Linked DNA regions of Oryctolagus cuniculus. The protein of the gene in region 2 purifies or fractionates together with the protein of the main gene of each other region. This does not show direct contact. Links are inferred from orthologs where the notes say so. Each region holds a gene or a part of one and is shown on either strand. Other genes may lie near its edges. The genes, in order: DNM2 and SNX33.

Evidence for each region.
Region 1: the proteins of SNX33 (region 2) and DNM2 purify together in Homo sapiens (co-immunoprecipitation; 3 studies listed by BioGRID and IntAct, with this or other methods). This does not show direct contact. The link is inferred for Oryctolagus cuniculus from reciprocal best matches to the Homo sapiens genes SNX33 and DNM2.

Annotation. Positions count from the first base shown.
Region 1 is NC_091447.1:66,760,696-66,764,491, forward strand, and holds part of DNM2 (dynamin-2), read right to left. Parts: intron 2,520-3,796; exon of another isoform or gene 2,284-2,519; intron 644-2,283; coding exon 534-643; intron 1-533. UniProt on the Homo sapiens protein: Catalyzes the hydrolysis of GTP and utilizes this energy to mediate vesicle scission at plasma membrane during endocytosis and filament remodeling at many actin structures during organization of the actin cytoskeleton.
Region 2 is NC_091443.1:108,361,667-108,366,066, reverse strand, and holds the start of SNX33 (sorting nexin-33), read left to right. Parts: upstream 1-1,361; 5' UTR 1,362-1,650; intron 1,651-2,120; 5' UTR 2,121-2,462; coding exon 2,463-3,921; intron 3,922-4,400. UniProt on the Homo sapiens protein: Plays a role in the reorganization of the cytoskeleton, endocytosis and cellular vesicle trafficking via its interactions with membranes, WASL, DNM1 and DNM2. Acts both during interphase and at the end of mitotic cell divisions.

The DNA.
Region 1 (3,796 bases), on a different chromosome or scaffold from region 2:
TGGTTCCTGATGAGGGCCCCGCCCGCTCGCCTGACCTCCAGACTGAATGCTGTGGAGGCAGTGACTCCTCCCGGGCCCCACCCCTGCCCAGATGCCCACAGCCTCCTCCCCCCAACCCCTGTGACCTCTCCCCCACGCATGGCCCCAAACCTGCTGCCGACTGCCCAATGACCCTGCCTCATTTTTCCCATCTCTGCCGATGGCGGCTACAGGCCCAAATCCCCAAGGTCACTGTCCATGTCTCCTTTCTCTCTGGCACCCAGAATCCATCCTGTCTTCCCCACGTCCTCGGACCAGCCCAGTTTCCACTGCCCTGTGATCCCCGCCACAGCCATCAGAGGGCGCCGGTGAGCATCCGAGCCAGGCCCTGTCCCTGCTCTGCCCAGAACCCTCGGTGGCTCCCCAGGCCCTGGCGGTCTCCCTGCACCCCCGTCTCAGCGCAGAGAGGCGTCAGCGGCACCTGCAGTGTCTTCCTGCTCCTCGCCGACTCCCTCTGTAGAACGCGAGAGCCCGGGGCGGGCCGCGGGCCTCACCTCTGCTCCGTGTTGAAGATGGCGAACACGTGCTTGTTGGACATGAAGCCCTTCTCCACGTCGCGGATTTTGAGGTTGTCCAGAGGCAGCATGTACTTCTTCTCCTTTTCCTGAGGATGCAAGCGAGGAGTCACCCGGGGCCCTGACGTGACCCCAGGGCGTCCTGTGCCGCCGCCAGCACAGCCACGCACCTGCTCCAGGGCCTCTGCCTGGGACGCTGCCCCACATCCGGGCACAGGGGACCTTCCTGGACTCCTCCCCACGCACCGCTCACAGAACCCCACCCACCACGGACCTTGTCTTATGCACGGACAGGTGTCCCCCACCTGGACTGGAGGGCGGGGGCTCCCATCCCTGTTTCAACCCTGGCAACCCTCACACAGGGAGTTCTCACATTCTAAGCTGTCACTCGACGGAGGGGACGGACAGCGACCTAGGCTGTTTCCACGACAAGCATCATGCACCCATTTCACGGTGGGGTAGACTGAGGCACAGAGGGGGACAGGGCTGTGGCTTCGTGGGTGACCCCAGAGCTGGAAAAAGCCCCATTCAGGAAGGGCCACCCACGTGCCAGGCCTGGAAGCCCCCACTGCTGAGGCGGGCAACCCCTCCAGTGCCACGGCCACTGCTCCTTGGAGCAGTTACATGGAGAGGGCGGGAGACCACACGTAACCCGCAGCCGCAGCCGCAGCCGCCCCCAGTGCCCAGTGCCAGGCTCTGCCCGCATCAGCTCAGAGAGGCAGGTGGGTGCTGGCCAGGAGTCTCGGGCAGGCTGGGCCCCAGGCTCAGAGAGGGACGCTGGCTGCCCAGGGCCACACAGCAGGTGGCCAGGCCCGTCTGACACAAAGCCAAGTTCTCTGTCCACGCCGCACCCCCAGGGCCTTTCTCCACCACGTGGGCTTCCAGACTCGTCACGTGCCTCCCCCCTGCTGCTGCAAGGGCCCAGAAAGAAATCCAACACAGCCGCAGTGGGGTGGGGGGCGCCCGGCGGGGGCTCCTTGGCAGGTGGGTGCTGGCTCGAGGCTCGGGCATCTGTATGGGGCGTGGGGCAGGCTGGGCCCAGCTCCGTGACCTCAGGAGCCCTGCCTGGCGGTGGTCAAAGTCGGCTTTCCCTCTCTCTGCCTCCCGGGTCTTCAGTCAGAGGTGGGAGGTGCAGGCTGGGGGCGGGACAGGGTAGAGCGGCCATGGCAGTACAGGCACTCTTGCCCCCATGCAGGCTGGGGGCCAAGGGGTGGGTGGTGGCTCAGAAAGCACCAGGGGTCCCAGGCAAGGCCCGGGGATGCAGGGCCTGGGTCTCCCCAGCCTCTCAGGGAACAGCTTGTGGGGGCTTTGGCAGTGGCCAGGGCGGGGGCCTGTGCAGGCGCGTTTGTCCCTTGCCTGGAAGTTTCCAGAAGGGCCTCTGCGGCCCCCACCCTCGCGTGTCAAGAGGCAGGAAGCTTCCAGCCGGCCAGGCCAAGTCACTGAGTCACGGGCCATCGGGCCCAGCGCGAGACGCCACATCTGGAACTGTTTAGAGCCAGATCCTGCCCGGGACCAGGGCGGCTGCCTTGCTCAAGCCGACAGCACACACCACGCACACGCGAGCACGCGTGCACACGCGCAGAGGCATGCGTGCGCCCCTGCTCCCCGCCCCGGGGCCCCCAAAGACAGCTGCTCGGGTGCACAGAGGCCACCGACCCAAACCCTCCGTCCCGCCCCCGCCCCTCCCCCCGCCGTAGGATTTCCTGAAAACCCACAGCTCTCTCCAGATGCGCAGCGGCCCCAGCCCTGCCACGTCACAAGGAACCGAGGAGCGGCCGCACGGCGCGCGCACATGGCTGCAGCGCAGCGGGGGCCCCGCGGCCTGGGGCCCCGAGACAGCCGGCCCCGCCCGCCCAGTGTTCAGACTACCTGTTCAGGGGACTCCAGATGTGTACAGTAGTCTGCACATTGGTTAGGCTGGGCCCGGGCCAGCGGCACGACGGACGGCCCCCACCCCCGCCCCAGGTGAGTGTCACCTGCCACCAGCCTGCTTCCCGCTGCGGAGGGGACGAGACAGAAGGTCTGGAGCAGAGGAGGGGCGTGCGGGGTGGGGGGGGCTTGGGGAGAGCTGGGGGGTCCCGGGCCAAGCCCCTTCCCCACGGCAGGGAGCGTCCTTTGTTTGCTGAGAGCTCGCCACCCCCAGGCTGCTGCAGCGAGGTGGCAGGGGGCCCCGTGGGGGGGTCGCTCACTCGTGCGCCTGCCCCCCCGCCAGCTTTGTGTCGGGCACACACAGGCTGGGCCCTGCCGGGTGGTCACTTGTGCGCCTGCCCCCCCTCCCCCGCTTTGTGTGTGGGGCACACACAGGCCGCTTCCACAAGGCTGCTGGTTCTCATTCCCCGGGCGCCCGCCCCTCGGGCCCATACTCCCCCTGCCGCCGGTCTGGGGCCCTGAGGGAGGGCGGGGGCTCCCGCTTTGGCTCTCTGGATGCAGGGAGACTGAAGGGGCCCCTGCGCAGGTGAAATCCAAGGGGCCCTGAACCCCGGGCTTCTGAGGCCACCACACGGGGCACCGCCGGGCTGGGGTGGCCCAGGAGCCCAGCCCCCACTGCCCCGGGGAGCTCGGAAGACCCCCACAGCCCTGAGAGCAGCCCCCGCGCACCCGGCAGCTGCTGCGTCCAAGGCAGGCGCGTTCCCGACGGTGGGGGCAGGATGGGGGTGGGGGAAGGACCAAGGGTCACCCCGACCCCCCAGCCCGGCTATTTTGAGGAACCACTCTGATTCAGACTAGTGGGTTCCTCAAGGGGCTTGGGGCAGGGACAAGGCTGTGCCTGGTCTCGGTTCTAGAATGTTCCATGGGGACTCCAGACATGCACAGAGCACCTCAGACGGGGCCCCGCAGGTGGGGCTGGGGTTCCAGAAACTTCCTAGAGATGAGTGCAGCCCCACATGGGGGGGATTCCACATTTCACCCCAAACCTTACTGTGCTGGGGCTGGGCGGAGCACAGTGACTGATACGCAAGGGTGGGGCGTCCCTCGGGTCCACAGGCGGCACACCCGCACGCAGAGCCCTCCCTGGCTGTGACACAGGACAAGCCACTGCTCAGATCCTCGTTCCCTCACCTGACACACGGGGTGAGGACAGCCTCCCCCGGGGCATGAAGACTTCCGGAGAGGGGGCGGCCTTCCCAGAGCTGGGGCTGCTGGGAGGCCCCAGTGCCGGGCACAGCCAGAGCACCCCCAAACCATCTGGAGCAGGACAGCTGGGGGAGAACCTGACACGGCAAGTGACGCCACCGCCAGGG
Region 2 (4,400 bases):
GGCTCTGACCTTGCAGAGCCCGGCTGCCCTGGGTGGGGACAGACACGCTTGTGAGGTTTCTTGGCTCACAGACTTGTCAACCCCTCCCATTTTCTCGGCTTGGGCGTTCCAGGCTCACCGGCCCAACCCTCTGGGAACTGGGCGCTCCAAGGAGCAGCCCTAAGTGTCTCTGACATATGGATGCACAAATTCCACTCTGTTCCGCGGTGTACTTTCTGTGCACATTTGTACCGGGGCTCTCAGTTATGGCCAAACGCCAGCCCTGCAGGGGGAGTCAGATCCTCCTCCTGCACCCTGAGTCTGAGTTTTGGAGCCACAGCCCTCCCACCCCCAACAGCCCAAGGTACCCAACAGGAACAGCACCACCTGGTGCCAGTTCCTCTACAGCAGGAAGACAGCGAATGCGGGGGCAGCAAGTTTAGCTACAGGGCACCGCCAAGGAAAGAGGATCAATGCTGAACTCGTTGGCACCTCCTCCTCTAGGAGGCCTTCCTGGATCCTTGCTCCACCCTGGCTGAGGCGGGTGCCTTTCCTCCCACTTTTCTTCATGACGCTTCTCCCGACACACCTGAACTTCTAGAAGGCGAGCCCACCCACCCCCCCAGGCCTTATTTGTCCCTGTAGCCCGAGGGCCTGGTGCAGTCGCTACCCTGTCGATGCTTCCTGAGCGCAAGACCGAATAAATCAGAGGCGGAATGGATGGGGACCAGCGGGGGCCCCCAAGGCAAGAGGCAGGCAGAGCCAGCGACCAAAGAGGTCCCGCGGGCCAGAGGTCGGGACCCACCGCACCCTCCTCGTGGCCGCCGCTGTCAGGACAGGACACGCAGCCCTCGCCGTCACCCAGCGCCGCGGCGCCCGGCCTGCCAAGGCTCGTGCCCCGTCGCCGCAGGTGTAGGCGCCTGCCTTTCCCGCGGACGAGTCGCCCGGAGCACGGCTGTTCCTGGCCGTATCTGCCTGGGGGAGGGCGCATCCCTGGCTCTCCACGCCCCGCGCCCGCGGCCCGGCGCTGGCGCCCTCCTGGCAACCCGGCGCTTTGCAAACTTTCGGAGTTTTCCTCCACTTGCGTCACGGAAAAGGCAGGAGGGTGGCCGAGGCCGGCTTGCAGGCGGCGGCGGCGGCGGGCGAGCTCCCCCGCGTGGCGCTCGCAGTCCCGGGGGCCCGGGGGCGACTCCGGGCCGCGGGCGGGCTGGGGGCGGGGAGGCGGCGCCCGGGGCTCCTGTCCCGAAGACTCGCAGCCGGGCGGGATCCCAGGGAGCCTCCTCGCTGCGCTGCCGGACGGTGCAGGGCAGGGGCGCGCCCTCCGGACACCGCGGGGCGCGGGGCGCGGGAGGGGGCCGGGCCACGCGGGGCGGAGCCGGGCCGTGCCTGCCCCGCCGGGCGGCGCGGAAGTGCGGCGGACTTCTCCCGACTCCCCAGCCAGCTTCTCTCCGCCCCCCGCGCCTCCCCTCAGTCTCGGACGCCTCCTCCCGGAATCCCTGTTTTTTTTTGTTTTGTTTTGTTTTGCTTTGGAGCTGGCTTCTCTCAGGCGGCGAGTGCGGGCGAAGGAGGCTGGGGGGCGCAGCCCGTCCCCCCACCGGCTGGGACCCGCGGGGCGGAGCGAAGCGCGGACGTGGAGCCCACTCTCCGAACTACTGCTGAGTTGAGCGCACGGTGCGGGGCGGGGGTCGTGCGCACGGGCGCTCGGGGGTGGGGAGGAGGGGATCCCTGGATTCCGATCGGGGTCAGCTTCAGGCTCACAAAGTGTTGAGGAATTAGGCAAACAAAAGAGGCCGCCCAGCCAGTGGCCAGAAGTCGCGCCCCCTCCTCCCTGGGGTGAGGCCAGATCCCGCAGGGGCGAGGCGTTGGCAGTCTGCTGCGTGCCCCCGGCCCGCGGAGAGGCCGGGCACGTCCACCCCTGGCCTCGACGCAGGAGGCTGCTCCCGTCGCCCTTGGATTTTTGAGAACCCGGTGGACCAGGAGGAGGAGGAGGAGGAGGAGGAGGAAGGAGGAAGGGGCAGATCTGCGGAGGAATGTGAGCGCCTCCCCAGGCCAGCGCAGCCAGAGGAGCTGGGAGCCAGCGGGCGGGCGGGCCCTGCCTGGGTTTCTGCGCCGCGATTCCCAGGGACTCTCTTCTATTTTAGAACATTGCCCCAGTGGAAAGCGTCGGATTCTTGCCCTGCCTTGCATAGCTGGCTCCCGCAGGTCACTTGACTTTTCTTCTGGGAGTGGGAGGAGGAAGACCATGGCCGGGAGCCCTCCCTCCCTGGAAGCACATGGCCAGATCCCTGATTGGGCCGCTGCTGGGCCCTGGACACTGCTTTAAAGAGCGGGCGGCTGGACAGCATCCGCAGGTGCAGAGACCCCACCTCAGGAGCCGGGAAACTGAGCTGGGGAAGGAACCTTGGACATCTTAGTGAGTGGCCGCGAGCTGGGCAGGACCCGCTCCTTCCAGTCCCTCTCGACCCCCTGCCCCCGGCCCAGCCATGGCTCTGAAAGGCCGGGCACTCTACGACTTCCACAGCGAGAACAAGGAGGAGATCAGCATCCAGCAGGACGAGGACCTGGTCATCTTCAGCGAGACCTCGCTGGACGGCTGGCTGCAGGGCCAGAACAGCCGCGGCGAGACCGGGCTCTTCCCGGCCTCCTACGTGGAGATCATCCGTCCCGGCGCCGCCAACCACGTTCACGCTGACCACTACAGCGGCGCTTCTGCCGGCTCCCTGGGCACCCAGGCAAGCTTGTACGACAGCCCCAGGAGCGGCGGTGTGCCCGGCTTCCTCTCCAACCAGGGCAGCTTCGAGGACGAGGAGGACGACGACTGGGATGACTGGGACGACGGCTGCACGGTGGTGGAGGAGCCGCGCGCGGGGGGCCTGGGCACCAACGGGCATCCCCCGCTCAACCTCTCCTACCCGGGCGCCTACCCCAGCCAGCACATGGCCTTCCGGCCCAAGCCGCCCCTGGAGCGGCAGGACAGCCTGGCCTCAGCAAAGCGGGGCAGCATGGTGGGCCGCAACCTCAACCGCTTCTCGTGCTTCGTGCGCTCCGGGGTGGAGGCCTTCATCCTGGGGGACGTGCCCATGATGGCCAAGATCGCCGAGACCTACTCGATCGAGATGGGCCCTCGCGGCCCCCAGTGGAAGGCCAACCCCCACCCGTTTGCCTGCTCTGTGGAGGACCCCACCAAACAGACCAAGTTCAAGGGCATCAAGAGCTACATCTCCTACAAGCTCACGCCCACGCACGCCAGCTCGCCCGTCTACCGGCGCTACAAGCATTTCGACTGGCTCTACAACCGGCTGCTGCACAAGTTCACCGTCATCTCGGTGCCGCACCTGCCGGAGAAGCAGGCCACGGGCCGCTTCGAGGAGGACTTCATCGAGAAGCGGAAGCGGCGGCTGGTGCTCTGGATGGACCACATGACCAGCCACCCGGTGCTGTCGCAGTACGAGGGCTTCCAGCACTTTCTCAGCTGCCTGGACGACAAGCAGTGGAAGATGGGCAAGCGGCGAGCCGAGAGGGACGAGATGGTGGGCGCCAGCTTCCTGCTCACCTTCCAGATCCCCACGGAGCACCAGGACCTGCAGGACGTGGAGGACCGCGTGGACACGTTCAAGGCCTTCAGCAAGAAGATGGACGACAGCGTGCTGCAGCTGAGCACCGTGGCGTCGGAGCTGGTGCGCAAGCATGTCGGGGGCTTCCGCAAGGAGTTCCAGAAGCTGGGCAGCGCCTTCCAGGCCGTGAGCCACGCCTTCCAGCTGGACCCGCCATTCAGCTCCGAGGCCCTCAACAGCGCCATCTCCCACACGGGCCGCACCTACGAGGCCGTGGGGGAGATGTTCGCCGAGCAGCCCAAGAATGACCTTTTCAAGATGCTGGACACACTGTCCCTCTACCAGGGCCTGCTCTCCAACTTCCCCGACATCATCCACCTGCAGAAAGGTAGGCTCCGGGGCGCCCGGACCCTCTGCCGCTCCTTCGGCATGGACGTGGGTTGCTCGCGGTGGCTGGCGACTCCCTGCGTGCCGGGGTAGCGTGCAGGGCGTGGGGTCCCTGTCCTGGGGGGCCTCCTTGTTTGCCTTCCTCTCTGTGCCTGACCCACTCACACCTCATGCACGGAGCCCCTGCACTCTATCGGACAGGGCTCTGGGGTCACGGAGATGAGCCCCTGGGTGCAGGGGGCACCCCGGCCGGGTAACAGAGCACGGTGTGCAGGCCCGCTGCCCAGCAGCCCTGCTCCCGTGTCCTTGTGTCCTATCTGTGGCCTCCTATCTCTGTCCCGGAGGAGCTCTGTCCCCGTTCCCAGAAGAAGGAACAGGTGCCCACAGGAGGGCAGCGGCATGGGGCGTCCACGGCCCAGCTGGGACTGTCCCTTCCTCCCGCCGTTTCTCCAAGGACATGTCCGTGTTGGCTGCCTCCCA